2 linked regions of the Coturnix japonica genome follow. The protein of the gene in region 2 interacts with the protein of the main gene of each other region in a pairwise test. Links are inferred from orthologs where the notes say so. Each region holds a gene or a part of one and is shown on either strand. Other genes may lie near its edges. The genes, in order: ELK4 and SRF.

Region 1 (14,991 bases), on a different chromosome or scaffold from region 2:
AAGATGGATAAGGATTTCAGGTGGATTTATGGACTTCGTTACCTTCACATAATAGTATCTGAGAGCACGGCTGAGTTTGTCATAGTTCATGCTAGGCTTGTTCTTGCGGATTCCCCACAGCCTGGCCACCTCCTCTGCCTGCTGCAGTTTGAACTCCCCGTCATTGGAGGTCCAACAGATGATATTCTTGTTCTGAGGCTCTTTCAGGAGTTGGAGGAGGAACTGCCACAGGGTGATAGCACTGTCCATAGCAGTAAGCTGTAATGCAGAAAGGCAGAGAAAAGGCAACAGAGATTAGGAACGGTGCATCTTTCTGTGTCTCCCTAGAAGGAGGGTGAGGGCACAGAGATGTTATTTCCAAAGGCAGCAAGAGTAAAAATTATTAGTCACCAGTCGTGAAAGATGTTCCCTGCAGAACAGGGAGGCTGAGAGCCAACTGCTATCGTCTCCTCCCACATGTCAGTCCTTTTCACATGGGTTATATTTAGCCTCATTTAACTAAATCAGGTCATTTTGGGTAAGTTGCAATGAGTCATTACCCCCCTCCCCCCCAAAAAAAAAACACACAACAAAAAGAAAACCACCCCAATTCTAAGCTGTCCCACGTTCACCCATTCTGTGTTGTACTGAGGAACAGCTCAGGTGCACCCAGGTAAAAATCAAACCATCTCCCCCCTCACCTCCTCCATTCCCACCCACCTGCAGCCTCCTCCTTCAGCTGCCTGAAGATATCACTGTAAAGAACAACCCAACCTTCCTTCAGTTCACATTGCTAATGTCCCTCCCAGCCACCCCCCACCCTGCTCTCTAATCTTCCTTTTGCAATTTTCGTCTCTTTTTCTAAGAAATTAAGCAAAGAAGAAAAGAAGCAAATACGATTTCAAGCATTGCTTTGGCTCTTCTCTTGATCTTTTCTCACACACATCAGTTTGTAAGGCTGAGGTCTTTTAGGACCAATGTCACTCCAGCACTGCAGGTGGGGATGTAGTCAGCAGTGAAGGGAGGTCATTCCCTGCCTATATGAGGTGGTACTTCCACCAAGATTTAAGTGTAACACCAATAATCCTGTCCATACAAAGGAATTATAAGCCAGGCTGTGAATTAAAACAGATAAAATGATATTAATGCAATATCCCATATGGATCCTCTTATCCCACAACACACAGCTTCTCTCCATACGGCCTAAACTTCTTCCAACGTAACAAAAGCAAACACGGCTGCACTGCAATAAGAGCCTTCCCATAGAACCATGCTGGATGTGGGCCCTGCTAAATATCCCCCTGCCCCAACCCTTGATAAAGGCCAACCTAAATGGCACAGGGGTTCCTGTTTGAGTGAGTGCAGCTCCAGACACCAAGTGCTGTTGGTAGGAGGAGGCTCTGAAGGTTCACGGCTCCTGCAAGGACTCGTGCTTGTGTTGTTGAGGTCCACACGCACACAGGGCTAAGTTTGAGATCCAGGCAGGACTGCCAGTTACCAAAGCCTTTATTCCAATCTCGTTACTGCCCAGCACTTAGCCAGCCCTAAATAAGGAAGAGAACAGTCTACATGTCAGAGCCTCAGAATCCAGTCAGCCCTGAAAAAGGATTAGTGCTGACAGTATACACAGGACCAAGCATTCCTATTTAAATCAGGTGCCCCGGGGCAGGTATTCTTTTGGGCAGAGCTCATTGCATTTAACCTATTTTCACAAATACCTGCCTGATGGCACACTGACATGACTCCACAGCAAGGTAACATTGATCAACTGGGTTCAACTGCTGCAATTACAGCCAACAATCTCAAAATGAAGGACACCCACACCACCTAGTTATGCTGGCCTAAGGTGCTTTCCTCATTAATTACTGATGCTTACAGCTCTGTGCCTGCCCAAATTAATTGCTGAGAGCTCTATGAAGACAGCAGCTGCTTAGTGAGCCCTGCAGGGGCAGCAGGGAGCTGTGGGGCAAGGAATGGAGTTAAAGCCCTCCCTGCTTTCTGCTGTGCACTTTACCAATGCTGTTTCCTATGGAGCATCACCAGCACAGCCTCATTATCCTGTCAGGATGATGCACACGCACGGGGTGTTGTGTAGACATAAGGACTTGATTCTACCATTCTACAGAGCTGTCAATAGCCGTGATAAGTGTTAACAGAGAAAGAGCAGGAAAATGAAGTCGAGTGATTATTCCCACGCTACGTTTAGCTGCAGCAGCTTCAAAGCCCATATAAGCAGCACTGCACCAAACAGCGCCGAGCGATGCAATGGGAGGTAATCACACAGAAATTAGATTAGCAGCAGAATCTCAGGAAGGCAAAGGCTTTTTCTCCTCCTAAAAACCTGTGATGATTGCATCCCCAAATTGAAATGCCGTGTAATTTCGGTGTGCTTCCCTTGAGCAAGAAGCACTTTGCTGTTATTATCAGCACACTCCAACCTTACTGCAGTCACATCGTTGCCTGGCTCGTGGCTGGAGCAGAGCTGAGATGCACACAGCCAACACAACTGTGCTCTCATGGCACAAACAGCAGCACAGCACATGCCTGTATTGAACAGGAGAGATTTGTTACAAGCCACCTTCGGAGCAATGTGCCACATTGTGCTCAGCAGCATCTACAACAACACCAGGCCTCCTGGGATGCAGGCACTGTGATCTCTGCATACAGCAAAGCTTAATGGCTGGAGGAATCCCCCTCCAGGGGCTACAGCAAACATCAGATGCATCTGTATGCTACCAACACTCGTGGAGTCCCAGGTTGTAGCACCGTGTGCCATTCCTTCCACCATTTCATTAAGGATGCAGCACAGCATCGTGCACGGCCAGGTTATGCTGCAGATGAACGCCCCTCTTCATTCATTCCTTATTGTACACACCTACAGGAAACAACAGGAGCGACACCTGAATGTATCCAGAAGCTCATCCTGATTAGATATAAAGGGAAATAATAACCCTGCAATCAGGCTGAAGCAGTGGGACAGGTGGGCAGGTACACCCTGCCCCTCTGGAGTAATATATGCATAGGAGAATGTGATGCTAGGAACAAAGGCACGTGTAATTGAACTTCATTAAACTTGCCTTGATAGGGCACGAGAACACAAAGAACTGCTGCTTCTCCAGAAAGAAGTGGGATAAAGTGAAGCCGAACCAAAACATCACACTAGATGCACAACTAAAAGCAGCACAGCCGCTCTGTGTGTGACTTTAGAGAACCCAAAGGATGCATTCAACATCGATTCCTCCTTCTGCAGCTGGGGCAGGAGGATGGGAACCCACCACCCCATTCTCACAATGTTGAGATGCTGCTCCTCGTGTGGCTCCTATGGAACACCTCAGCTTCTTCCAGATGTCATCAAGCTGCAGCACAGCTCCCAGCAGCAGAAAAAGCCTCCTCGTCTGATTGCTTTTCCTTCGAGATGAATGTGCTGATGATTACAAGCGCAGCCTTTTAGCTGAAGGTTATTTTCCTTGCAAGAGTCCACGGAGAAGGGAAATGGTCTCATGCGAAAAGACAAAGAGGGAATTAGGCAGAGAGGCAACAGCACTGTTTATGACAACAGCCTTCCCACTTCTGCACCATTTGAGTGCGAGGAAAAAAATAGTTGCTAGAGGCAGAGGGCAGTTATACTTTGTAATGAGTATGCTAAAATAGAGCACTATTATTGTCTTGAGATCTTCTCTGACGCCTACAGATGACCCTTGAAGCACACAGAGGAGCTGACAGCATTTGGCTGCACTTTTCTAAGTAGGAGCGCTGCGAAGAGGAGCTTTTCTCGTGTTGCTGCAGCTCTGTTTGAGGCCTTGAGAAAGGTACAAAGCCTCACGTTTACATCAGAGCTGGGACACGAGATACGCATCTTTTCCAGCGACTTCTCATCCATCTACGCCACAATCCGGGTGATTACAGAGCCTCGGGGCTCCGCATCATTAGTGGCAGGCAGTGTGCAATTGCTGGGTGGCACAGCTTCCGAAGTGGCACAGGGCAATTCCATACTGTGGCCACAGATTTACTCACCATTGCAGAACAACAACCTTCAGGTTCAGCCCCGAGGGAGGCAGCACCCAGAGGAGCTCCAGCAAAGCAGATCTATATCCCACCCCCCCTACCAGCCCCCATCTTTGAGGTCTTCTGGCATGTTTCCTGCTTTTGAGTCAGCCCCGAGAACAGCTCGAGTAATCCTTCGCCTCGGCATGTTTCCTTATCAGCAGCTGCAGGCTGATGACTTCTGCAGATGGACTGATTACAGCAGTCGGGGCTGCAACCTCGTTAGAATCCCCCACGCAAGCAATGCACAATGCAAAGGAAAGGGAGGACCAAGCCATCACCTGCAGGCACTGACACCCATCCAGCTGCCCAGATATAGAAGCAGCATCTCCAAAGCTGAGCTGAGCAGCAGCAGAACCACCTGGTGACATGAGCCACAAAAGATGCTGCTCAAAGATTGCCAGCAACAAAAGCAGCACTGCGTCTGTGTGCACCAACCACAACACACAGACGTTTGCCAGCAGAGAGCAGAAACTCTGCTCTCTGTTAACAAATAAGTCTAATATAGCAGCAGCATTAAGTTAGAGGTGGGCTTTGGGACCTCTGCCATGCAGCAAACGAAGCCCTTGCACTGTGGCAGGAAGCTGCACTTGCTGCCTTGCTTTGCATGCACACAGACAGCAAAGCTGAGCTGCTCTGGTTGCATTGTACCATTCCCCAGTGTTTCTAATGGCTGAAGATGTGTAAACCGAAGGCACGTGCAGACAATAAACCCCCGTGCAACGTTGTGCAATGCTCTTGCACAGACACGGCCAGGAAAGCAAACAAACAAAGAAGCAATGCCAGATTAATGGAGATCTCTGGAGGTCACAGGCCCAGGGTCTCCATCAGACAGGGTTAAACTCAAGGTAAGATCACGCAGTTCATTGTCTGCAGCCAAAACAATAAGTAAAGAGCTGCTCTATTCCCCCAGCTCCTTTTATTGGAGTAAAAGGACCAGAGCTGTAACATCGCTGATGAAACATCTCATTAAGCAGCCAGCAACACACAATCAAGCAACAGTTTCATTAGAGCAGCACTTGAAATATCCCTTTTCCCAACAGGAGCTTTCAGGAAACACTTTCAAGCCGCTGGGAAAGCCATTCAGCTCCACTGTTACCTTCAGAACATGATCCATTTGGATTCATTTCAGTGCATAGAGAACCAAAAGTCAGGTTTTCCTGCTGGGAACAGCACCCAGCCCTCATTGGGAACACAAAGGGAACCCTAAGAACACCCTTAAGTCCTTCTGTCACACTGCCTTTGTAGCTTCATTCCCAATCCCAAAGCTGCCATGTATAAGGGATTCACCTAAACCTGCACCTTGCCACATTGATGCCTCCAAACAAGGAAACCAAGGAGCGTTCAGACCACAAAAAAACAGGCAAGAATAAGAAACAAACAGCAAGAAAACAACTCCAGGCTCCAACAGGTTGCAGCCCTCCCTTCAACCCTGGCAGGAAAAGCTCTAAGAGCAGGAAGCACTGGGAAGGAAGCACCAAAGGATGTCCTTTAGATAAGGGCTGCTTCCCTCACCTCATCCCTCTCCAAGTCCTATTTACTTCACCCAACTGCTGCGCTCCATGTCGCCTTGTCGGCTCAAAGCTGAGGGTTTAGGAGACATTAAGGAGGCAGAAAACACGTCGAGCTGTTTGTTTCAGCGCTGGTTTGTTCCATCATTTCACCTCCCATCTGTTAAACGACAGCTTCCCATCCTCACTGAGCATTTGCTGCGTGCTCAGGGCAAACAGAACGGCAAACTTAAAGCAACGCAGCTCCTGTGATTGGTTTCTATCACTGACGTGACTGGCTCTGAGTAAGCCACAGAAACACGTATTTCAACCCAAAAAAGCCTCTTTAAGTAGATTACACGCTCGCTTCCTCCTTATTTGCCACCACAACGGGCTGAAGGGGAATGTTTACCAACAGCAGATCCCATTGGTTTCAATAGCACCACGCAACAGCATCCCTGCTGGGAAGGGCTGGGTGATGCTCAGACCCGAAACAACAGGTCCCATGCATCCAGCTGACCCTAACCTTATTACCGACAGGAAGCCTCGTTTTAAGATGGAAAAGCTTTCCTCTAATAATGTTTATAATACACTCAGCCCCGTTGCTATGATGATGGGAACGACTCCTCACTCCAAACAGGCTCCGAGACCCTAAAAATAAACAGGCGGGTCGAAATCACGACGGCGCAGTTTTGTTTGGGAGGGAGGATGTGCTGGTGCCATAGGAAAGAAAGGGAGGGGGGAAGCAACGCTAATAACCCAACTCTACATCCATATGGTTCTACAGCTGCTGCTTTAAAAGCAAAGCAGCCAAGCTGTATCGATGCTGTGTGCCCCCAATGGGGCAGGATATAATGGAGCGGGATGGAAGATATCTGGCTGTACATAGGAGGTGAGCGTTGTGTAACTGGCCGGCTTGTAAACAGGAGTGTAAAATAAAGCCAAGCACAGCGGTGGATTTGCATATATACATATAGTTTCTCTAAGGATTTCAAGCCCTATTGATGTGGGCAGCATCCGCCCAGATTGAAGGGAGAGGTGGAACAGAAGGGAAAAAAGGCAAGAAAACGGGGTGGGGGGGCAGGGGAAGGTGTAGAGGGGGGGGCAGGGGAATGGGGTGTAGAGGGGGGGGGTTAATATATATATAAGATTAAATAAGACCCCAAAACAAAGCAGAATGGGGTCGTATCCTCCTCCTTCCAACCCCATAGCACAGCATACAGCCAAGTCTCCCACTTCCTGACCCCCCCCAACCCCCACCTACTACCTGGTCCCCCCCTCAACTCAAGGCCGGGGCCTTAAAGCAACGACCCCCCCCTATATTAGGGCCGACCCCCCCCCTATATTGAGGCCTAACCCCCCTATATTCGGGCCTACCCCATATTCAGCTCTTACCGAGGAGGATCCCCGTTCGTTGCGGGTCCCGTCGCTGCGGGCAGGTGCTGGGAACGGCCCCCCCAGCCACCCTTCATGACCGGGAACCCCCTCGGTGTGTCGAACACCGACCCCCCATCCCTATAAGGGAGGAACCGGGTTGAGAAGCGAAGGAGAAACCGGAGCTGATGGATGGAGGCGGAACGGGGAGCGGCGGAGCGTTACATGGCGGGACGCGCAACGCCAACCTCAATGCGATTGAGCCAACTCGGCCACCGTACGCCACACTTCCGCCCACGGCCCACGGTCCAATCACCGAGCAGAGCGGGGGTGTTGTTGACCAATGGGAAAGAAGAGGTTCCGCCCACTTGTTGTAATGCATTATGGGTAATGTAGTCAGTGAGGCTTTATGCCCGTACAGGCCGCTCGCTGCCATGTGACCGGGCCGGGCCGAGCTGATAATGGGGTTTAATGGGACCGGGTTAGAACCGAAGTGATATGGGGCAGTGTAAGGCTGAAGGGGAGCGGTGGTTGAATGTAGAGATGAGTTTAAATGGCCGGGATAGCAGAGGGGGGATGGAGGTATCCTTAAAGGAGAAGGGCCATAGAGAGAAGCTGAAGGTGTAGCAGACATATATAGACATATCTAGACAACCCTATAGACATCCCTATAGATGTCCCTATGGACAACCCTATAGACGTCCCTATGGATGTCCCTATAGAAACCCTATAGAAAACCCTATAGAAAACCCTATAGAAACCCTATAGAAACCCTATAGAAGTCCCTATAGACATCCAAATAGACATCCCTATAGACAACCCTATAGACAAACTTATAGATGTCCCTATAGACAACCCTACAGACAACCCTATAGACGTCCCTATAGACATCCAAATAGACATCCCTATAGACAACCCTATAGACGTCCCTATAGATAACCCTATAGACAACCCTATAGATGTCCCTATAGACTTCCCTATAGTCCTCCCTGTAGACAACCCTATAGGCGTCCCTATAGACAACCCTGTGGACGTCCCTATAGACGTCCCTATAGAAACCCCTATAGACATCCCTATAGACAACCCTATAGACAACCCTATAGACGTCCCTATAGACAGCCCTATAGACGACCCTATAGACATCCTATAGACGTCCCTATAGACAACCCTATAGACGTCCCTATAGACATCCTATAGACATCCCTGTAGACAACCCTATAGACGTCCTCTATTCCCTTCCTTGCTTCTCCCTTTGCAGCAGCACAACCCTGCAGCACCCATAGGGCTGAGCAGAAGCAATGGGGGGTCATAGCATAGAGCAGGAGCTTTAATCCCATTGAAGCTCACTAAAGCAGCCCCTAAGGAGCTGCCCACTGTGCTCAGATGCTGCTCATTGCCTTGGCCTGCGGCTCATTGATTGCCCTGAGTTACAACCTAAAAGAGCACATTCAATACCAGCCGGAGAGCTGAGCCCCATTGGGTTTGCCATTGGGAGCAGCAATGCACCCCCCCAATGCACACACAGCCTCACCCACAACTAGCAGAGGCAAACAAAAGCCCTTCAAGCAGCTCTTGCAGTCAAACAACAACGCATGCCAAAACATGCAACCTATGGGGTTTGTTTCCAGCTGCACGCCAGCAAGAGGTGAGATGTGTTTGTGCAAAGCCCTCCGTGCACATCTCACCTAATTGCTCTTCTTAACAAACCTCTTCTTTTATTCTCTTGTTGTGCCATCACCCCAAACACACATGAAGAGATCCCAGCTAAACCCGAGCACCTCCAGCTGCAATTAGTGTTTGTTGCCATGAAGTTCTGTGCTGTTACAGCCCATCTCCCTCAGCTGGTCCCAAATGAAGTGAAAGAAACCAAGATGGAGATGGACGGTTTTACTTCACAATCCCTTTAATAGCATTTAAAGGTCGAGATACAGATGGAAAGGGAGCTGAAAGACGTGAAGCTCGGGGAATCCTGTGCCCTACCATTTACATGGCCTCATCTGCAGCTCAGCTTCACTGAGAATCAGCCCCAAAGGGTCTTTCCTAGAGAGGGAGAATAGATCTCTTTCTATGTGCAGCCCTCACTTTGTTCTGCTTCCCCTGCCGTGGGTTTGCAAGCGAACGTGGGTTTGTTCCCATCTTAGACAACATCACAAGGGGGGGAAAATATGTAGGACAAAGGGATGGGATGAAATAGCGCAGGCAAGAAGGCAGGTCTTAGAGAAAGCTCATACGTAAAGATGCTTTAAAAAGAAGCAACTCGAGCAACAGTGTCTTAAAGGGGAAGAGACAGCAAAAGGAGAAGTCAGAGTGGGGCTGCTTGGTTGTATTGGGGTACAGGTGTTGGCAGTGTTATAGAATTATTATGGTTGGAAAAGACAACCAAGCCCAACCATCAACCCCTCCCCACCATGCCCACTATTCTGTCTTCATTGTTGCCAAGCTGGAGGCAATGGGAAGTTATAGGCTGCCATTCAGAACCACCATGAGGACCCCCCTCAGTCCCCTCTTCTCCAGCCCATACAAACCCATGGACCTCACACCCCCTGCCCAGACACAGGGATGGACGCATTGACACAACCATGGGGACAGCAGCTCCAGCCCCTTGCACAGGTGCCACTGTGGGCTGCAGCGTGGGGCTGGCTCTGCCTGCTGCTATATCCAGAGTAAATTCATCCCTGTATCCAGGCGGACGGATTTAGAAACGTCGCCTGAATTTCTCTTTGTGCTCTTCCCACATCCTGCTCTGCTACAACTCCTGCCTGCTTGCATTTCATTTCCTAAAGAGCAGCGCTTAGCAACCCCACAGCAAGAACACTGCAAGAGGTTCCTCCCATCCCTTCCCATTCCCAGCAGGGCAGAACAACACACACACAGCCCAGGTCAGCACAGAGCTGGGCTGGAACCCAGCATCCCCAATGACACACGTATGAGATGCATCTCAGCACCTCCAATATAGTTGGGAAGACAGAAGGGTCTCCTCTTCCTCATTCCTCCCATGGCCACAGTTCTCATCTGTGCTTCCACAAAGCATTTGTGCTGCAGAGTAATATCCTCACTGGAGCAAAGGACGGATAATTACAGAGCCTTCAAGTAAACCTTCTAAGCCACTCATCCCAAGTCCCCAGAGGGAAGCAGGTGAGACTATAACACGCATTGCTCAAGAGATACGGATCTGGAGTGTTTTATTTATTAAAGATCTCTCCCCTCCCTTTGTGGTCTGCTTAAAAGAGATGGCAAAACCAACCAGGTGAGCAGCAAGACACCACAGCCAGCGCTCCCAGCCTCGTCTTCCATAGCAGATCCACCCCATAGCATCTGCTCAGCAAATAGCTGCTGCAGGAGGGAAGAACTGCTTGGCATGAAGGCTGAGACACGGCTCTTCTTGCTCCAGTTTGGAAAGGCGCCTTTCCCAGTTGCCTTCGGCTTCAAACAGAGGGAGGCAGGATGAGGCAGGTCCAAAGCGAACAGGGAGTGTGCTGGGAGAGTCTGGAGTGAGGGAGAGGAGCAAAAGAAGGGCAGATGAAAGCACGAGACGGGCATGAGTCACGTTGGCACGAAGCCCCTGGAGAGAGCCCTGAAGGAAAGGGCATTTAGTGAATTCCTGGTCAGGCAAAAATCCACTAACACAAAAGGCAACCAAAAATAGGCCCTTGTATACCTGCCTGCCCCGGCTTGTCACTTATAGGAGGTGTTTCTTGGGCATAGGGGCAGCAGAATAAATCAAGGAGTTTAAGCTCTGCTTTAGGAACAGGATTAGGTTCATTTCCCTGCCCTTCTTATAGGTACACCCCAAATCTCCTCACCAAAGCAGCAGCTCCACACAAACACACAAAGTCCTGCCCTAGAAGCACAATGCAATAATGGCACAAGCAAACCTGAGTGACAAAGGGGCCTGCAGGCAGCAAACATCAGCCTGAGACATGCAGGCAAAGCCACGTAGGAGGGACACACCACCCAGCTGGAACTCCTGACGTTCGTTCTTTGTTTGTACAAGCACCTGATTCCCTCCCAGATGTTTGCAAAAGCTTGGCAAGCTGGCACGGGAGCAAAAAGTTGGCCTTTAATTAACCAGAAGTTAAATATAAAGAGGACGTCAGCAAGCTGCAGAGCTCCCCCCAGCCAATGCATGCAGCTCTCCTGCACCCACATGCATGGCTGTGTCTGCATGCAGATGATCCTTTAGGATCCCCTTCAGCTCCCCATGGACTCCAATAGATCTCCACCATGTGTATCACATAGAAACAAAGCCTGAATGCAGCCCGTCATTGGGGAGAGCTCCAAAGCACCATCAGCCACTACAAAGTCATTTCTCTTCTTCAGCTCTCCTTGCACTGTCACCAAGTCAGCCCTACATCCCATTGCTTCCCAGTTGGCCCTGATGGATCCTCATGTGCTTGGCCAGCAAAGTGCTTCTTGCAGGTGGCACATTGGTGTGGTTTGATACCGGAGTGCGAGTTCTTGTGCCTGGAGAGCTCATCTGAATGGGAGAACCAGTAAGGAGAAGGGCAGCATGGAGCATTGCGAGCATCCCTTTGATTCTCAGAATGGCAGTGAGTTTTCAATGTCAGGGCTGGGAGAGAGGAGCAGCTTGTGTGTGAGCTGGCTTAGCACAGAGCACAGAGCAGGAGAGCCAGCCTGCAGCAGGGGAGCAGAGGTTTCCATGCCAAAGCGAATGAATTGAGGATGCAGCAGCAGCGAAGACTGCAGGAATACCCAGCGCTCACACTGCTTTGGGCTGTGTGATATCCACACAGATCAGCTGTACCACCTGGGAAGTCCCTTTAACTACAAGCACATCATCCCTGCTCAATTCTCCTGCTCCTTTCTGCTTGGCACAGGGCTCCAATAGGGAGCAGGGAGGTGATGCTCAGCCCTTCCAAGGTGCCACCTCAGATAAGCCTGGGGTTGGTGGGACTGCAGGGTGCTTTGCATGTCTGAGTGCCAGGGGGATGCAGGAGAGGAGGACAGGGCAGGATTTACTCTTGTTCTGCCTCTATGGAGCCAACACAGATGGCAGCAGTATTAGGATGGAAGGGTTTTTCCATCAGGCCCACGCAAAAGAAGCACAAAGGAAGGAGCTTCAGATGTAACCCCAGACTCCCAGCTCACACCTGGTACAGCAAACACAATGCTTGCCCTTCAAAAGCTCTGTGAAGATTAAATGCATCCCAAGGCCGTCCTCAGTTCATCCATGCAACCCAACCAGCTCTTTTCCAGCTCAAAAAAGTGAGTTCCGAAGTCTCAGCTCCTCCTAAGACTGCAGCTGCCCTCCACCGTGCAGGGAATCAAGGCAGCAAGATGGTGCCAAGGCCTTGCACAAGAAACCAAGGAAGCTCAGTGCTGCCAGCACCAGTTTTCCTTGTGATATCCTTTGAGATCTGCTGAAGGAGAAGCACTATGCAACACCTGAGGACTGTTAACCCTCCTTGCCAAAGGCTGTGCTGAGCATCCTGCCCCTGGGGACAGGCATGTGGGTACCAGGAAGAGAACATTGCAGCAGGAAGCAAACGGAGAAGCACAGAGAGGTCAATTGAGGGAATGGAGATGAAAGAGAACAACGCTGTGCACAGAGCAAAGGGAGAGGATGCACAAAGGAGCCGTGCTGGAGGGACATGGGCAGCCAGGGGGGGCACACAGGGAGAAAAAGCAAAGGCAAAAGGCAAAGCTCGGTCCTCCCCACCCCCCATAGTTCCCACTTACCTCCAGCCAGGCACAGCTGTAGGGCTTCTCCCCTTTGTGCCTGCAGATTTAGGCCTTCAGGTGGGAGCTCTTGGTGTACACCTTGCTGCAGCCCAGCTGTGGGCACTTATGGACACACACAGGGGCTGTGGGGGCTTTCAGACACACAGGGGCTGCTTTCTGATCCTGGACACCCCCAGTATCCCAGATCCCATTGGGTTGGGCAGTGGGACGATCTTGATGTACCTGCCCTCCAGGAGGTGGTCAGAAGACTCCAGGCTTTGAGTGTAACAGACTGTGCCTTAGAAAGAAAACATCATAAGCAGTCAATGGTCTTTGTTTGATAATAAAGATGCTGTGGCTCAAAAAAACCCACATGCCAACCAACCCTCTTCCTATGTAGGCTGCTAAGGGTTCGATCCCTTCCAGAATCAAACTTATTAAGGCAAAACTACATAGTGAAACTCTTCCACCTGCACCAGAGGGCAGGCATGTGCTGCTGGATGGGTCACAAATGGCACAGCCACCCTGCCTGCGTGTCTTGGATGTCTCTAATGAGGAAAGTGAGTTTCCAAGAGAAAGAAAACCGATGCCAAAGTCACCTGGGAGTGTTTTCCAGAGTAAACAAGTCCATGAGATTACTGCAGAGCTGCAAACCTGTTGAGCCAGTCTTCCTTATCAACCCTTCCCCAGGGTCCTGCCAGCTGGGAGAGGAGATTTCTGAGAAGCAGCTTGGATATAACAGAAAGACTCTTCCTTTAAGGAGCTCCCCGTCTGCCCGGAGCTGCTCTGCATCGCTTGGGGCTGCCCACATTCATCCCCAGCACAGCTCTGTGCCAGCCAGACGCGATGAGCAGAGCCAGCTCTGCCCCCATGCGAGGTGAGGACGGTGCTCAGCCAAAGCTCAGCCTGCGGGCTGCGTGTTTTCATCACAACACAAATCCCCGCTCTGAACCATCACCTGAAAGGCAGCAGCAAATCGCAGCCCTGCCTCCATCCCAATGCTCTGATCCCCCTCTGATCTCTGCTTCCTGACCCTCTCATCAGCTCTGGCTCCAAAGAGCCTCCCCCCCCCCGGCTACCAAACTGTTTCCCAACCTGATTTTCCACCTTTGCAGAGCAGCTCAGTTAGTCTCCATCCTTTCAGAATACCCCCAAGGATGATTGAATTACACCACGGATTCCACAGCTCAGAAGGTTTCTTTACTATAAATCCCACATATCCAAAGCCCACAGTTCTATTGCATGAACAACAAACAAAAGCCCACCCGGAGGGCAGGAAAGGGCTGAACAAACCCGGGCAGGTTTCTTACAGCCTTGTGCATCTCCAGCAGTGCTCAAAGAACTAAAGACACTTAACAGCGCTGCTGCAGATCCCATTGAGTTAAAGGGATGCCCGCACCATCCGACCAAAGACAAACGAGTGTCAGCAGCCCCAATGGGACCCCCCCGCTTCACTCATCCCCCTGCAGCCCCTTCATCTCACCTGTTGCATCTCTGCTCCTCCCGGTTCTGCTCTCATTTCAGTCCGGCTTATTTAAGAGAAAGAAAAAGACGAAGGAAATGCAGCCGTGTCCTAACAAATAGCCGCAATCTGCACCGCAACAACTAAACTGAGAGCGGAGGGGACAGCTTCAGGTGTCGCTTACTCAAATACGAAGCTGAGACGCGGGGTAAGGGCTGATATTATCCCAATTACTGCAAGGAACCGAGGTAATCTCAAGCTGTTTAACCATCCTCGGGTGCTACAGCCGCGGTTCTACGTGGTTCCGATAGAACCCGACAGAGGTCCAAAGCCGCCGCTGTGGTTATAGCGCCCTCTAGCGGCGTAAGGGAGTAACACACAACATCCATCCATTCAACGCCTTTTTATTCCCTCTTTTACTTAATAAAATTAGAACAGAATCCTTCTGTATACAAAATATTCACTCTGCTGAATAAATAAAACATCTCGTCTTCCAGACAGTGTGTGATCACGAGAGGAAAAATAGCATCAAACGCCCTTCCTTCACCCGGAGACCCACAGCAATCAGCTTCTGTTACAAAATACATCCTCCTTTCCCCCCTCTGCATCCCAACTCACCCCCAAAACGAAAGGAAAGGAGAGGCACAGTGTGGCCTATAGAAAGAGAAGGGCTCCCAGCAACAGCCTGCCAGGAGCTTGCAGCCATACCTATAAATTATACAGTATGATCGAGCAACCCATCTGGGTTTGGGCTCCCAAAGGGGACAGGGGGAGCAAAGAGCAACTAATGGGGTCTTGGCAAGAGCTCCTCCCTGCACCCATCTACCCACTGTGCTGGGAGATGGCAGAGGGCCCAGCAGACCTCCTGGTGTAATAGGAGGGTAAAGAGGAAAGGAGCAATTAGCAATTAATACAGGTCAAGGTGAGACACCAAGCACCCACCTGGAATGAAGGGGAACA
Region 2 (14,756 bases):
AAGACACCATTAGCGTTTAACCAGCGGTTGCCTTTGGGGAGGAAGGGAGGAGATGCCCAGCAGGGCACTGCCATCGCAGCCCCATAGGGCCAGCACGAGCAAAGCAGAGCAAAGCACAGCCCTGGTAACGGGCTTGGGGCAAGGTTAACGCACACCCCAAGCTCTCTGCAGAGGTCATGGAAGGAACCCGGCCACATCCGTGCGCTAAAAAACAGCACAAGCTGAGGCTGTGGAGGGGGAAACTCCAGCCCAGCCCCTCAGCTGGGAGTTCAGGAGGTGCCACCTGCACTATGGGCAGGGAGAGCAGAGATAGGCTGCTGACAGCCCCTCATCTCCCAGGGAGGGCCGGGACATCCCAGCAGACAGCACAGTTAAACGCTAACGTGGAGGGAACATGTCCAAGGTTACAATACAAACTCAAAAGCAAGGCCCCTTCCTGCCTCCACGCCCACCCACCCCTCTCCCATCCCCCCGGTACAAACCCCATGAAAACTGTACAGGAGCCAAACTTTTATTCCTTAAAGTATTACATAAATACTGAGTTTAACACTTAGAAAAATAAAGTCATTTTCTTTTTTTTTTTTTTTTTTTTTTTTTTTTTTTTTTTTTTTTTTCCTTTTTTTTTTTTTTTTTTTTTTCCTCCCCCCAAGGCTTCTTTTGTCTTTAACTTAAAAAAAAAAAAAAGAAGTTACAGTAGCTGCTCCTACCCCTAAGGATGCAGCAGCTCCTTTGCTCACTCGCTCTCCCTGCAGGGCCAGGACCAGGCAGCAGCTCCCATGCAGGACCAAGCACACTCCAGTCCTTCTCCTGTGGCCCTGCTGAGGCTCCTCCAGCCCCATTGCTCCCTGGAAGAGCACGCTGCCCACCAGCAGCTCAGTGCCTTGTGGACTCTTCCCTTTGGCACTGGAGTCACTTCTCCACCTTGCATCAGAGAATTTAGAAAGCAGTGGCTGGAGCTGCAGCAGAGGGGTGCAGGAAAGATCCAGTCACATCCCCCCCCCCCTCGGGCGTATGGAGTCCACAAGCAGCATGAGGGCCGAGATGGGAGCTCGGGGCTGGGAGCAAAGACACCGCCCATGGCCTCGCTGAGCTGCTGGGCACCCACTGAGCACTGCAACTGCCAACCCACCGGGCAGCCCAGCAAGGAGGCACTGAGGGCGGAAGCCTTGCTGTAGTGCACATGAGGAGGCTGGGGCCACACGCCAGGCCCAACCAGATATGCACATCCAAGTAGGCCGCTCGCTCCCTGCAGAGCCCAGGGAGAGCTGCCGCAGCCAGGACCCATCCCCCCCACAAAGGCACATTGCTGAGGCTCTGCAGGACAGCACCCAGCCCCAGCCCTACACAAACACCCACAGATGGGGTGAGCACCCCGAAGGGTCCAGGGCCTCCAGCTGGGAAGGGCCCCCAGGATGTATGTACAGCACGGAGCACACCTTCTCCTCACGAGACAAGCTTCTTTGGCTGGCGAGAGACGAGTATCCCAACGGCCCCCAGCCCTGCACGGCCCCAGCACAGCTTCTCCCCAGGCGGGTCCTGCAGCCCCTTGCATGCTGTGTGTGTGGGTGGGTGCGTGTGTGTGCGCATGTGTGGATGAAGGAAACGTGAAAAGGCAACAATAAATAACTGGTGCAGTCTGTACGAGAGAGTTGCTGCCAGCCCCAGCGTGACAAGCCAGGGACGGCACAAGGCCAGCAGCAGAGGCCTCTCAGTCACTCTTGGCGTTGTGTGAGGTGTCCAAGTTGACCACCTGCAGCTCCGTCAGGCTGCTGCTGCTGCTGCTCTGCTGCCCAATGACAGCCATCTAGAGAGAGAAGGGAGGAGCAAGTGCTAAGGGACAGCACTTAAAGACTGCTACCACCAGCAAGCCAGCATCCCTCGCCACTTGCCCAAGGAGGGCAAGAGCTCCTCACCCATGTGTAGGCGGCACAAACAGCTCCTCCAGCTCCCCAAGACCCGAGGACTGGCCCTACTCAAGTGCCCAGGCCCATAAAGGATGTTCAGAGCAGGACCAGCACTGCCCCAGAGGAGAAGCAGGAACAGAACCCACCACATCTGAGAGCACCGCTCTGCACCTACCTGGTGAAGCTGGACAGCTGAGACTGGGATCTGAACGGTGCCTGATGGGGCTGTCAGGAACACCTGGGGGACACCACCTGCCACAGAAAGAATGACATCATTTTCCAGATGCTGGGAACCAAGCATAAGCGTTCAATCCACATCCTGCATGCATGCCTTCACACTGTTTTGGCCCCTCATGCACCCACACATCCCTTCCAGTCTTCCTGACTCCCCCCACGCCAGCAACTCTCACCCTCTCACCCAGAAAATGACTCAAGGAATCCTTTACACAGGAGAAGAGCTGGCTCTAAAAAGCACAGACCCTTGCTGGGTCTTTTCAGTAGATATGATGGTTTAGAAGAAAATCCTCTAGAATGGATACATAGCAAAAAAACACATGGAAAAAGGAGAACCCCCAAAGAAGCACCAACCCAGACTTACCCTGATCCTGGACCTGGCTGTGGGACACCTGCATTGCTGAGGGTGCCTGCGAGAAAGCATTGAGGACTGCAAGTCCACCATCCGCAAGGCCAGAGGTGGGTGCGTACATCACCGCGTGCGGGCTGGGGTACATCATGTGGCCGCCCACGGTGGTTGGCACAGACGACGTCATGATGGTCGCTGGGAGGGTCACTGGCAGCAGGACAAACTACATGTAAGTTACACTGCAGGAACCTGCCACACTTACACACCTGCACAGCCACCCTCCCTCTCAGCCCCCACACGTGCTAGCAGCAGGCATGGGGAGGCACACACAGTGTTCTCCCAGGGAACAAGCAAGAGAGCTTTGGTCAGTGAGAACAAGGCAGCCTTACAGACAACACAAGACTGAACTCAAACCATGGTACAGGTTTCCTGATGAAGCTAATTTAAGCTGTTGAACTGGATTCGGTCTGCATCCAGGCACCTGACATCTTTTTTCCTTTTATTTAGTAACAAAAAAGGGTGTCCTCAAGAACACGCAAACCAATGCTTTGTGCAAGGGGCAATGCTGGATCAATAGGAAACCATCTGAGAACTAGGAAGAGCCTGGCAACATGTTCCCAGCTCCATGCTACAGGATGAGAGGTGATGACCAAGTTGTACCAGGGAAGGTTCAGGTCAGTGTGTAATGTCTTAGTAAACATTTCTTCTCCCAAATTGCAGTGAGGCAGTGGTACAACTGCCCTGGGAGTGGTGGGGTCACCGTCCATAGAGGTGTCCCAAAGCTGTGGGGATGTGGCACTGAGGGACGTGGTTGGTGGGCATGGTGAGGGTGGGTTGATGGTTGGACTGGGAGACTTTAACAGTCTCTTCCATCCCTATTGATTCCATGAAAGAGCAAGTAATGCACCAAGACTGGTTCTGAAGTCTGCTGAGGTACTCCACACACAGCACCTAGCTAGAAGCAGCAGAGCATGGGAGCTGCTAACAGGGATAAATAAATCTGGGAAACTGTCAGCGTGGTTGGGATAGCTGGACTGAACGATGCTGGGTCAGGAGAGGGGTGAGGGAGTATTAACCGTGGTTAGAAAGGGAGAACGCAGTTATCATGAAGCCCCTATTACCTGTTCCACTGGGAGAGGTCTGAGTAAGGTCAGTGCTGCTGTCACTGGAGGGAGACGTTTGCTGCGGTGCCTGGTGCACCTGGATCGCCTGGACAGGGACTTGCTGAGCCATGGTGCCACCTGAGGAGAAAAGGGAGCCTTCAGTCTGCCAGCCTTCATCCCTCTCTAGCCATGCACAGCTCCACACATGGCCCATCACGGTGCTGGTGCACAAGGGCCAAAGAGGGGTCAAGCTGGCCTGCAGGGCTCTGGAGGGAAAAGGAAATGCCACAGCAGCTTCTGTCCAGCATCTAGGTATAGTTCAGGGATGTCAGTGGCCCTCATTACCAATCCTGTCCACAAGGACATGGCACGGAAGATGCTGTGAGGAGGGCACCAGCACAGCCCATTGCTCAAGCAGCCCCACAAAGCCAGGCTTTCAGCATTAAGCAGAACAGCAAGAGCCCACCTTCCACAGCAGGGTCTTCACCCTCTGGAGCCCAGCATCATTCTCTGCAGGGCACTCAGGAACAGCCACCCCAAAGACAGCGCAGTGCCTTGCATAGGAACAAGAGCACAGCTGCCCCAACACACAGCCCAGGGCTGCATGGGCAGTCACACAGCCTCTGAGCCAGCCTGCTCAGCACATGGCTCTCAGCATGGCTATGCAGACACCGAGCAGGACACAGAGCTCCCCTCAGGCTCACTTTTTGCCTCCAGAGGGAACAGCAAGTGATACCAGACAGAAAACCCAGGTTGGACATCTCCCCATACACCCAACCTGTGGCTTCTGGTGCAGCATCTCCCCATGCAACACACCAGAAACACACAATCAGCAATTAACCTCTCAGCTCCTCCAGACCAGAAGGGAAATGTGGTCCCCTTGCACAGGCCCAAAGGAGCTGCAAGAGGCCATCAGACTTAGCAGCATGGAAACGAGCGGCACAACACAAGAATACGGCCTCACCCACAGCACTGGTACCAAGGAGACGGTACCCGAGACCTAGTACAGCACTCAGAGAGCCCTTCACTTGGCACAAGAGATTCCTGCCAAACACAAATGCCCACACAGCAACACCTCGGTCTCTTTCATCACCAATCTTCTGCACTGTGGCTCAGCGGCCAACTACAGATCTAGGCATGACAGCTGCTCAGAGCCAAACACTAACACTCAAAACCACATCCACAGGGCACCTTAGCACCGTAGTCTCCCTCCATCCATCACTCCTCTCTGCTCAGCCTCGGTGCATCAGCAACCCATCTCTTACGTGTACACAAGTGTGGAGCAAAGCCTGGCTCAGGGGACCAAGAACTGCACCTGCCAGCACACTGCTCACACCAAGACCTGTCCCTCTGTGTCTCCCAAGACCACAGCCAGGCTGCTCTGCCTCCCCATGCACTCACCTGTGTGCTGGGGTCAGCTCCCTGAGCAAGGACAGGGTCCCTGCACGAGCCTCCATTTCCCCCAATCTAAAACGAACAGAGCAGAAGGAAGTGCTGACCTGTCAGCGACAGGATCTGCCCTGCAGCTCTGACAGGGAAGCGGAAGACCGTGTGCTGTGCCTGATGTAGCTGTCCAGCTGTACCCACGAGTGCCTGACCCTGCTGGCTGGAAAAAGCCAGCGAGTGTGGCTGTAAATGAGGGAAAGGAATGGCAGGGGTCCCCAGAGACAGGGAAGCACCTGCCAAAAGGAGGGAGAAAAAAAGGCTTCATCACCACCAGCTCTTTTTGCTTCCTCCAGGCCTCTTTGTGCTGTCCTGGGGTACCTTGCTCAGCTCCCAGCCACCACACCCTTCCCAGCAGCAGGGCCCTACAGGAACTGTCACCGATCAAACAAAGCATCCCAGCCACGTTCATCCTAAGGCAGCAACCACTGCCTCCACCGGCAGCCAGGTCTCCCATTCTCAACACGTCTCGAGAGCAGAGATAGACAGATGAACACAGCACTGAGTAGCACTGACCTGACATGAGGGTGAAGCCGGTGGGTATCTGCATGAGGCCCCCGGATGTCACTGCACTGGCTCCAGTAGTCTTCAGCACTGTCCCGTTGGCACTGGTGACGGCACTGGGGCTGATGCTGGCAGACACTGGCGCCAGGTAATTCGTGATGGGGAACGAGGGGCCGCTGCTGACCTGCATGGAGGACGAGGTGGTGGGCGCCGTTTGGATGGTGGATGTCGTCCCAGGCAGGTTGGTGACAGTGAAGGTGGGTTTCAGCACATCCTAGGGGAGGAGAAACGGTGACAACTCAGGCTCTGCGGGCCGTGCCCCCTGTGCCGCCAAGGAAGGGTTAATGCGGGCACACTTGCAGCCCTCCCGCAGCACGGCGGGCCCAGCACTCCCACGTGCTGCGCCTTGTTCCCCGCTTGTCAGGCTGCCAGCAGCCAGGAATTCACAGCTCCGCGAACAGCTAAAAAAGGGAAGGCAGCCCATTTTAGACAGGGGGGAGCCAATCCCGGGCACTCAGCCCTGCCCCAGGGCCCGTTGAGGGAGGAGAGCAGAACCCCTCTGCCTTGGCACCGTGGTCCCCCCACGTCCAAATTAGAAGAGGCACGTGACCACGGCGCGGCGCCCAGTGCAGGCACTTTCCATTAGCTCAGCCACAGCCCCCCGCGACGTGGGAGCTGCAGGCACACTCCCACCTGGGCCATGAAGCCCACTTGGCTCTGTAAGCTATGGCAGAGTGGGCTCGCTTCCAGCTGGAACAGCCCAGCTCCCTCATCCCCACACACAGCCCTGCACACCCCAGGGCCTGTAACATCTCCACGCTACATCCTCTGGGGCATGGGAAAGGCAGCCCAAGATACACACAGAGCAGCTCAGTGCTCCCTTAGAACACGAATACAATGAGAAAAGCAAAGGGGCTCCAACCATGCACACCCAACTCTGCCACCTCCAATGTGCTACTCCTAGCTCGCAATGCCAGCACAGAGAACTGGGACAGCCCTTGGGGTCGGACACCTACCACCTGCCTGGGATGCTCCTGAGCCCCTGGGCACCCTGACTCGCCCCAGCACCCCACTGAGCTCAGCCTGCATGCAGGAGCCAAGCTATGAGCCACTCTCTGCAAGGGTACCCAACGCACCACACATCCAGGGTACCCCTGCAGGTTCTGGCCCTGGTGCTACACAGGAGAGATCCCATTCTGCTCTCCAACAGCTGCTGTGCACTCCAGCTAGGGCACAAAGCCCCATATCCTTCCCCCAACCCAAGCTCCTATTCCAACCCCAGTCTCCCTCCAAACAGGGCACTGGGTCCTTTGGTGGACTACCCACATCAGCACACAACAGCTCTGTTGCCAGGCTGGAGCTGTCCCAAGAGCACAGCATCCCCATGTCCCCGCTGCCATCCCAGCTGCACTCCAGGGCAGGCGCTGGGGCTTGGCACAGCAGGAGGACCTCGCAGCTGCTGCTGGCTGCATGGCTCCTCACGCTGCTACTGCAGCCAAACGCCAGCAGATCCCGTCCGTACAGGGAGCAGCTCTCAGAGCATCAGCAGGGCTGTGCTGGAGCCTGAGCCAAAGGGCACCAAGCTGGGCTGGCACCAGAGAGAAGAAGGTTCAAACCTCTGCAAAGCAACCACGCCACGAGAACACGTTTCCTTTGGGGCCACCTGGCAGCATTTCCAGTGGAAACCTTAAAGGACTCTGCGTGAGCAAGCCCTGCACCAGGGACGAGTCAGTGGCACGCGCAGCCCTTCCTGCCCCACGCCTGCTGCGAAGGGCTGGCACAGCTCCCACCAGGCACCCAGGGGAGTCATGCCAGCCTGGGGAAGCTGGGTTCCCATCAGTGGGAAGCCTTCCAGGGCCAAGCCCTGGTTGGGGGGCACCCAGCCCACAGCACCTTATTCCATCACACCTCTAGGATCCCCAGCAAGTATTTTCCCCTCAGTGGTATTTATGGGGCACAGCAGCATACACACCGAGAGCAGAAATCCCTCCCCCAGGTAACCAGCAGCAACATGACCAGAGGTGATGTGGGATGTAAACACGTACAATAAGGATTCCCAGAGCACTAAGCTGTGTCTGTACTCAGTCTCTGGGGTTACACCAACAGCACAGGGCTCTCAAGCACCCTCACTGGGCTCTGTTGCACACAGTCTCCACAGGGCAAGGCTGGCACACAGCGAGCTGGAGGAGCAGGATGTCACTGCTCATCCCACTGGAACAGGTACAGCGGAGCTCACAGCACCCAACTGGACCCGGGGAGCTGCAGCACAGCCCCAACTCTGTGCACATCTCTGAGCATCCGCGTGCCCAACCACTGGAGCCCCTCGAGGAGCAGCATCGGGGCACATCGAGCTGCCCTGCCCCGGGGCTAACCAGCAGCACGGCCAGGCAGAGAGCAGGAACACTCGGTCCAGCCAAGTGTTTCCATTCCCCATGTCCTCCCTGCCCCCTTCCAAAACAGCACCAAAGCAAGAGACAGCTGCAGCTTATAAGGAATGTGAGGGGCCCTGCCAGGGACTCTGGCGAGGGAAACCAGGCCTTATAAGGCCATGGAGGCAGAATCAAATTTTTATCAATGAGTGCGAGCGCATGGAGACGCCCGGGGAGAGATAACGGCGCCCAGAGGCCGAGCGGCGCGGGAGGGGGCCCGGCCCCCAGCGGGGCCTCACCTTGGTCTCCCCGCTGCTGTCCGACTCAGACACCTGGTAGGTGAGGTCCGTCTCCTCGAAGCCCGTGGCGCTCATGCGCTGGTCGGTGGTGGGGTCGGAGCGCGGCGGCGAGTCCGGGGAGTTGAGGCACGTCTGGATGAGCGCCTTGCCCGTCTCGCTGGTGATCATGGGCTGCAGCTTGCGCGTGGCGAACGTGTACACATGGCCCGTCTCGCTGGCCACCAGCAGCAGCACCTGGGTGCCGGTCAGCGTCGACAGCTCGTAGGCCTGCGGGGCGGCACGGGGCGTCACGGGGACCCTCGGCGGGGGACGCGGCGGGCAGCGCTCCGTCCCTCCCTCCCTCCCCCCCCCGCTCGCCCGCCCCCCCCGTCGGCTCCGCGCTCCCCCGCATCCGCCCCCCGCCCCGCGCTTCCGGGCCGCTCCCGGTGCCCCGGGGCCGCACCTTCTTCATGATGCCGGTCTTCCTCTTGCTGAAGGTGGTGTATCGCCGCAGCTTGTTGTCGATGAACTCCATCTTGATCTTCACCCGGCCGCGCGTCTTCTTGCCGGGCTTGGCGCCGCTCACCGCCCCGCCGCCCGCTCCGCCGCTCCCGAACGCCGCCGTGGCCGCCGCCGCTCCTCCCGCCGCGGGCACCGACACCGCCGCCGCCGCGGCCGCCGCCGCCGCCGCCTCGGCCAGGCCGCGCTTGAGGCCGCGCCGCTCCGGGCCCAGCTCCTCCTCCTCCGCCGACTCCGAGTCGCCCTCGCTGCCGCTGTACAGCGCCTCCCGCTCCAGCCGGGCCCCGGGCGGCCCCGCCGCCGCCGCCGCCGCCGCCCCGCCACCGCCGTTCGCCCCGCGCGGCACCGGCGAGCGGCCCATCCCCGCCCCGCGGGCCAGCGCGGCGGCGGCGGCGCCGTTCCCGGCCCCGGCCTGGCTGGGCAACATCGCGGCGGGTCGCGTCGGGCCGGGCCGGGTCAGGCCGGCCCCGCCATGGCCCCGCTCCGCGCTCACGGCCCCGCTCCGCCGCCCCCGCCGCGCCGCGCCGCCCCCATATAAAGCGATACAATGTTGCCTTTTATGGAGAAGCCGCTCCTTATATGGGGCGAGCCGGCGCCCCGCCGGGAGGCGCCGCGCTATTGGCCGCCGCCCGCCCGGCGCCGCCGCCCATTGGCCGCCGCACGGCGGTCGATTTGCATACGTTCCGACCGCTGTCGCGTCACCCGCGGATTGAAACATGCGCGGGGTCTTAAAGGGGCCGCACCGCGCGGACGGGCGGCACGGGGCGTAACGCGGGGCGGATGGACACAGCGCCTCCAGCACACGGACCGGGCTCCGATCACAGCGCACCTCGCTCCTTCCGCTCAGAGCCAGGCAGAGCCGTTGAGGTGCAGGGAGGCTCCGGGCCACGCGAGTACACGCACAGAGTGCCAAACCTCGTCCCAGCAAAGGGCTCTGCGGGACAGCACGGAGACACCCCTGCGGGAGGAGGGGGGGCTCGCTGCCTCCATCCAGCTGGACGCCCACACAGCTGCAGCAGCCCATCTCATCCAGCCCCAGCACTGCCGTGCTGCCCACGTGCCTCGTGGCACAGGGGTCTCTGCGCTCACCCCCAGCCCGTCTCTGTGTGCAGCCTCCTGTGGAGCAGCGTGGCAGCCGAAACAAACACCCCCCTTGGCTGCCCCCCAGCCGTGCTCCTCCAGTGAGCACACATGCCATTTTTAGCTCCCACAGGGCGCTGGGGCTCACATGCTTCCCATCACATGCCCTGCCTGCCCTGCCCCGGGGCCCAGCACCGGCCACACCTGGCGCAGGTGGCCCACGAAGGGCTGCAGGGCCTCTCTGCACCATATGGGCCGGGCAGGTCCCCTACCCAGCATGGGCGTGCAGACACCACATGCACCAGGGCTGGGGTTACCTTGATGCCACTCTTCAGGCTCAGAGCTCTTGGGCTGAGGGTTGAGCCCCTCAGAGGCCTCAGGCCTGATCTTGGTGCTCAGGTGGGTTGGAGGTGGCAGCAGCCGCCCCCCCCCCCAAGCTCTGTAAATGGGAATAGCAGGGAGACACAAATCAGACCAAGCCCTTAACAGCAGTCCCACAGTACCTGACCAGAGCAGGGTGAGCCAGCTGCTGTGCACAGGCCTCCTACAGCTGCTTACATACCTACCAGGAGATATGCCCAGAGCCAGGCTGGATAAGAAAGCTACAACACATGCTGGCAGCCAGGCCAAAGCAGCAGCACCTATGTGGTAGACCAAAAAAAGACCGAGTAGCTTTGGCTGGAGGTTAAGTGCAGCTCCTGGGCCACTCCCCTGGGTGGGAGGTCCCAGGTGAGGCTGCTAAGAGCAATTTGGTCCCATTGGTTCCCTGCAGGGCTCTAATGCACCCACCTGAGTGCCACAGGGCAGCAGAGGAAAGCCAAGTGAGCCATGGGGTGGGCCTGTGCCCCATAGCAAAGCCCCTGGATCTCTGGGCAAACAGAGGTAGCCAGGGAACATAACGGCAATACCAGCTCTCAAGGGCATGTGGAGGCACAAGGCCTAGAGATCCTTATGCTGCAAGCAGTTGGCAGCCAACAATGTGTGCCTGCTGCTTGCACCTCATTCTGTGCCATACACGTTTGGGTTTGGGGCTGCTAAGTGGCCCTTTGCTATGGTGAGGCTATGCTGCTCTCCAGCCCTGGGTATGACACGCTGCCTTCCTTTCCCAAGGCTCTGTGTTCCCTCCACTTGGGTTCAGGCAATGAGACCCCATCCCTGTCAGCTGTCCAAGTCCTCTCCTTCTCCAGCAGAATGAGATGCTCCAACAGCCCGCTCCCCCGTGCCGCATTTAGCTAGGGCCCTATTTGTTCAGCCCGCTGGTTCCAATTAGTTTGGCCAACATCTGCCTCGTCCCCGAGGATACAGAGCTTTTTCATGACATCACTCCCCAAAATACACAGCCCCAGCCCCCAATCTTTCTGCACCCTCTGGGTCTGGAGTTTGTCCTGACTCTGGTGCCTTCCCATATGCTCATGGTGGGCAGGCACTGGAGCCCTTGCAGTGTATCAGGGTGAGGCTGAGCACCCCATCCTGACACAGCTTCCTATAGCTCCAGCTGTTTGCATCTTAACACGGGGCAGCAAGGCGGGATGCACACCAAAGGCCACAGCTCAGCTCTGCTTTGGTCAGGTTGATGGTTAGACTTGAAAATTGTGGAGGTCTTTGTCAACCTACATGATTCTAGCACATGTCCAGAAGTGAGCCCTTCTCATGCTCCACGTGAGCCTTCCCCCCGGCCAACAGGGGATCCTGACACTGCTGCTCCATTGATGGTCAAAGCAGGTTGCTCAGGGCCCATCCAGCCCAGGGCTGAGCATCTCTGGTGATGGAGAACTCACAGCTCCTGGGACTGTCCCAGACCCTCACCCTCATGACACACGTATCATGCTGCAGGGACTGCCCCAGCACAGCAGGGCTTCTCCTTGCCAAGACATGCACAAGATGCAATGGCAGGAGTCTCCCCCACACTTGAGTTCCTGGCCCTGGGAGGAAAAGTCAAGCAGGCAGTGACAGCAGTGTCTTACAAAGACACCAAATAAAAGAGAGAGGGGAAAAAAAAAAAGCCTTCTTTATTGAGAGCAGCACATATAAACCCAACCAAACCCAACCATTCTTGGCTGCGGTACCCTCCGCTCAAGCAAACAAACTAACCCACTCTAGGCTGCGTTCCAGTAACAGAAATACTATGGTGGGGAGGAGGCAGCACCGGGGGAGGAGGAGGAGGAGGAGAGCGCTGCCCCCAGGAGTCGTACAAAAAAAGGCACGGGGAAGGATCTGGGGAAAGGTGGTGGAGCGTCTCCTTCATATGCCAGGCACTTTGTGTTCCTGATAGCGGGCCGTGCCCGCAGGCAATGCCTAGCACAGATGGACGGACAGATATGCACGTGGTGAGCAGGGAGGGAGAGCCCGGTGCCAGCAGCCCACGGGCTTTGTGCACCCGTGGAGGAGAGGGGGTGTGTGGGGGAAGTACACTGGCTTGTGCTTTGAGTCCAGCAGCCGCTGGTGCCGCGTGTTGGGGTCGGGCTCAGCGAAGGCTGCAGGAGCACCGGGGGCAGCGCAGAGCCCCTGCCCGCCCTGCCGCATCCTTCCCAACAAGGTGCTCAGGCTTTGCTGTCGGCCGGGCTGTCCCCGAGGGTGGTGGCGAGCTCGCTAAAGGAGGGTCGGTCCTTGGGGCTGGGCGCCCAGCAGCGCTGCATCAGCTTGGCAAGGCGTGAAGGGCAGCCCTCGGGCTGTGGGAGCTTCGTCTTTCCCGACTGCAGACCTGGCAGAGAAGCAAAGGCCAAGGGGATGTTGGGAGGAGGCACCATCCCCTCCACGGGGAGTGAGGAGCATTCACCACGACGCGGGCTCTCACGGTGCACGAGGTGCTCCACATACCTGCTAGGACCTCGTCATCTGCCAGCGGGGTGTACGGCATCTCCCCCTGTGTGAACACCTCCCACATGAGCACCCCGAAGGACCACACGTCTGACTTGGTGGAGAACTCATCCTCCAGCACGGCTTCGGGCGGCATCCAGCGCAGCGGGATCCAGGCCTGACGGAAGTGGTAGTACTCGCTGCAGGCAGGACAGTGGCAGCTGGTGAGATGGGCATCGCTCTGTGCTCCCACCCCCCCACCAGGATCCCGGCTGACCTGTTGTACACATCCTTGCTGAGGCTCAGGGCTGAGACCTTCACCTGCCTCTGGGCGCTCACCAGGCAGTTCCTGGCCGCCAAGTCCCGGTGCACAAACCTGCCGTTGGAGAGGTGCTCCATCCCCAGCGCCACCTGTGTGCACAGAGACACCTGGCCCCAGCGAGATGCTGGCACTGGCAGCCCTCCCCAGCAGCCCCGGCGCTGTGGTGCTTCCAAAGCCACACGCTCACCTTGTGCTTGGTGCTGAGGGGCTGCGGCTTCAGGGACTCATCCTTGCTCTTGGAGATTCTCAGGAACTGCTTCAGGTCCCCCTGTGAGATAGATGGAAGCTCAGAGTTGATGTTCTAACAACGCTCATTGGTCCCCATAGTGCCTAGATGTGGTGGGCCCACAGGAGCCTTGTTCTATGGGCCATGGCCCTCCTGATCCCCGCAGGGCAAACTAGTATCTCCCTAAAGGTAAGGTCAGGGCAAGCAGGCCCATGCTTCCAGAAGGCCAGCCATGCCCCAGAGGGCTTCCTATCCCACCAGCTCCAGGCTCCCCCTAGCAGTAACCCACATTTGCAGCCATTGTGCAGTGAAGGGTCCCAAAGCTTCATCCTCCTTGGGATTCATAGAATCACCCACCCCTCACCATGGGCTGGCTGCCCCCCACCAGCTCAGGCTGCCCAGGGCCCCATCCAACTTGGCCTTGGGCACCTCCAGGGATGAGGCACCCACAGCTCTAGGCAACCTGTAAACTCAGCCTTGCCTCCTCACCCTCACCCACCCAGTGACAACAGCCCAGACCAACCCAGATGCAGGACGCCATCTCCACTATCCTCCCACAGGCTCAGGAGCTGCTGGTAGGACCCTTACCAAGTCCACATACTCCAGGACCATATAGTGCGGCTCAGCCTCACGGCACAGCCCCAGCAGCCGCACCACGTTGGTGTGGTTCAGTTTGCCAAACATCTCTGCCTCGCGCCTGAAGTCCAGCTGCAGCTGTTCATCCCTTGTCTGCAGGCTCTTCACCAGCACCAGCGCTTCACCCTCACCATCCTCTGCACCTTTTGCCTTGGCCAGGAAGACTTCACCAAACTCCCCCCTACCTGGAAGTGCAGAGCAGCACAGAGGGATACAGCATGCATTAGGACAGGCAGCTTGGTAGCAGCTGGACCTTCTGTGCCCCAGTGCACTGAGTTTCCTGGCTGGCACACACTAGACCAAGAGTTTCTTGTTGAGAAGCAGGACAGGGTGGCCCAGCATACCCAAGGTAGTGATTGTTTGCAGGTTGGAACGGGGGAAGTGCATCTTGTCAGTGGCACTGTGCCGCTTGCTGGCCCCAGAGCTGCTGCCCAGGTTGGTCAAGGCCACCTCCTCCTGGATCTCAGCCGTCGTCTGCCCATTCTGCAGCAAAGTACCACCTGCAAGGGATGTACCACATGGCTTCAGCATCCTGACAAGCAACATCACGCAGGCAATCAGTCCCTTCCGGACACCCCAAGCACCCCTAACCAGCCCCACAGAGCGCCCTCCCCACAGCTGCTCCCTGTGGGCTCACGTCTGGCCCCATCTCCGCCAGCCCTGAAATCAGATGCTGAGCAATGGCTTTGGTCCCAGAGCCAACTAGCCCCATCTGGCCTTGTCTGTCCCACACCATGCTGACATCTCCTAGGGGTGGCTACATCACAACTGCACGTGGACAGAACTCCACACAACCACAGCAGATCAGACATGAGGTGGAGCGGGCCCTGCTCATGGCCTTCTAACATCCAAGACACCCTTGGGTCCATCTGACCTGACCCCCCTGCTCCTGCAATGCTCACCTCCTTGTAACCTGGAACCTGCCACACCAGGGCAGCTTGGACCTTCTTTTATCACCTATATTAAAGCAGAGCTAGAGAGTGCTGTCCTTAT

What was found.
Region 1: the proteins of SRF (region 2) and ELK4 interact in a two-hybrid assay, tested with the Homo sapiens proteins (2 studies listed by BioGRID and IntAct). The link is inferred for Coturnix japonica from reciprocal best matches to the Homo sapiens genes SRF and ELK4.

Annotation. Positions count from the first base shown.
Region 1 is NC_029541.1:2,497,988-2,512,978, forward strand, and holds the start of ELK4 (ETS domain-containing protein Elk-4), read right to left. Parts: upstream 7,149-14,991; 5' UTR 6,909-7,148; intron 259-6,908; 5' UTR 250-258; coding exon 43-249; intron 1-42. UniProt on the Homo sapiens protein: Involved in both transcriptional activation and repression. Interaction with SIRT7 leads to recruitment and stabilization of SIRT7 at promoters, followed by deacetylation of histone H3 at 'Lys-18' (H3K18Ac) and subsequent transcription repression.
Region 2 is NC_029518.1:3,482,653-3,497,408, forward strand, and holds the start of SRF (serum response factor), read right to left. Parts: upstream 9,195-14,756; 5' UTR 9,131-9,194; coding exon 8,648-9,130; intron 8,473-8,647; coding exon 8,206-8,472; intron 5,812-8,205; coding exon 5,550-5,811; intron 3,729-5,549; coding exon 3,609-3,728; intron 2,695-3,608; coding exon 2,503-2,694; intron 2,157-2,502; coding exon 2,080-2,156; intron 1,805-2,079; coding exon 1,709-1,804; 3' UTR 1-1,708. Other genes in the region: PTK7 (inactive tyrosine-protein kinase 7), read right to left, coding at 12,324-12,484, 12,601-12,779, 12,857-13,008, 13,089-13,169, 13,716-13,948, 14,108-14,263. UniProt on the Homo sapiens protein: SRF is a transcription factor that binds to the serum response element (SRE), a short sequence of dyad symmetry located 300 bp to the 5' of the site of transcription initiation of some genes (such as FOS).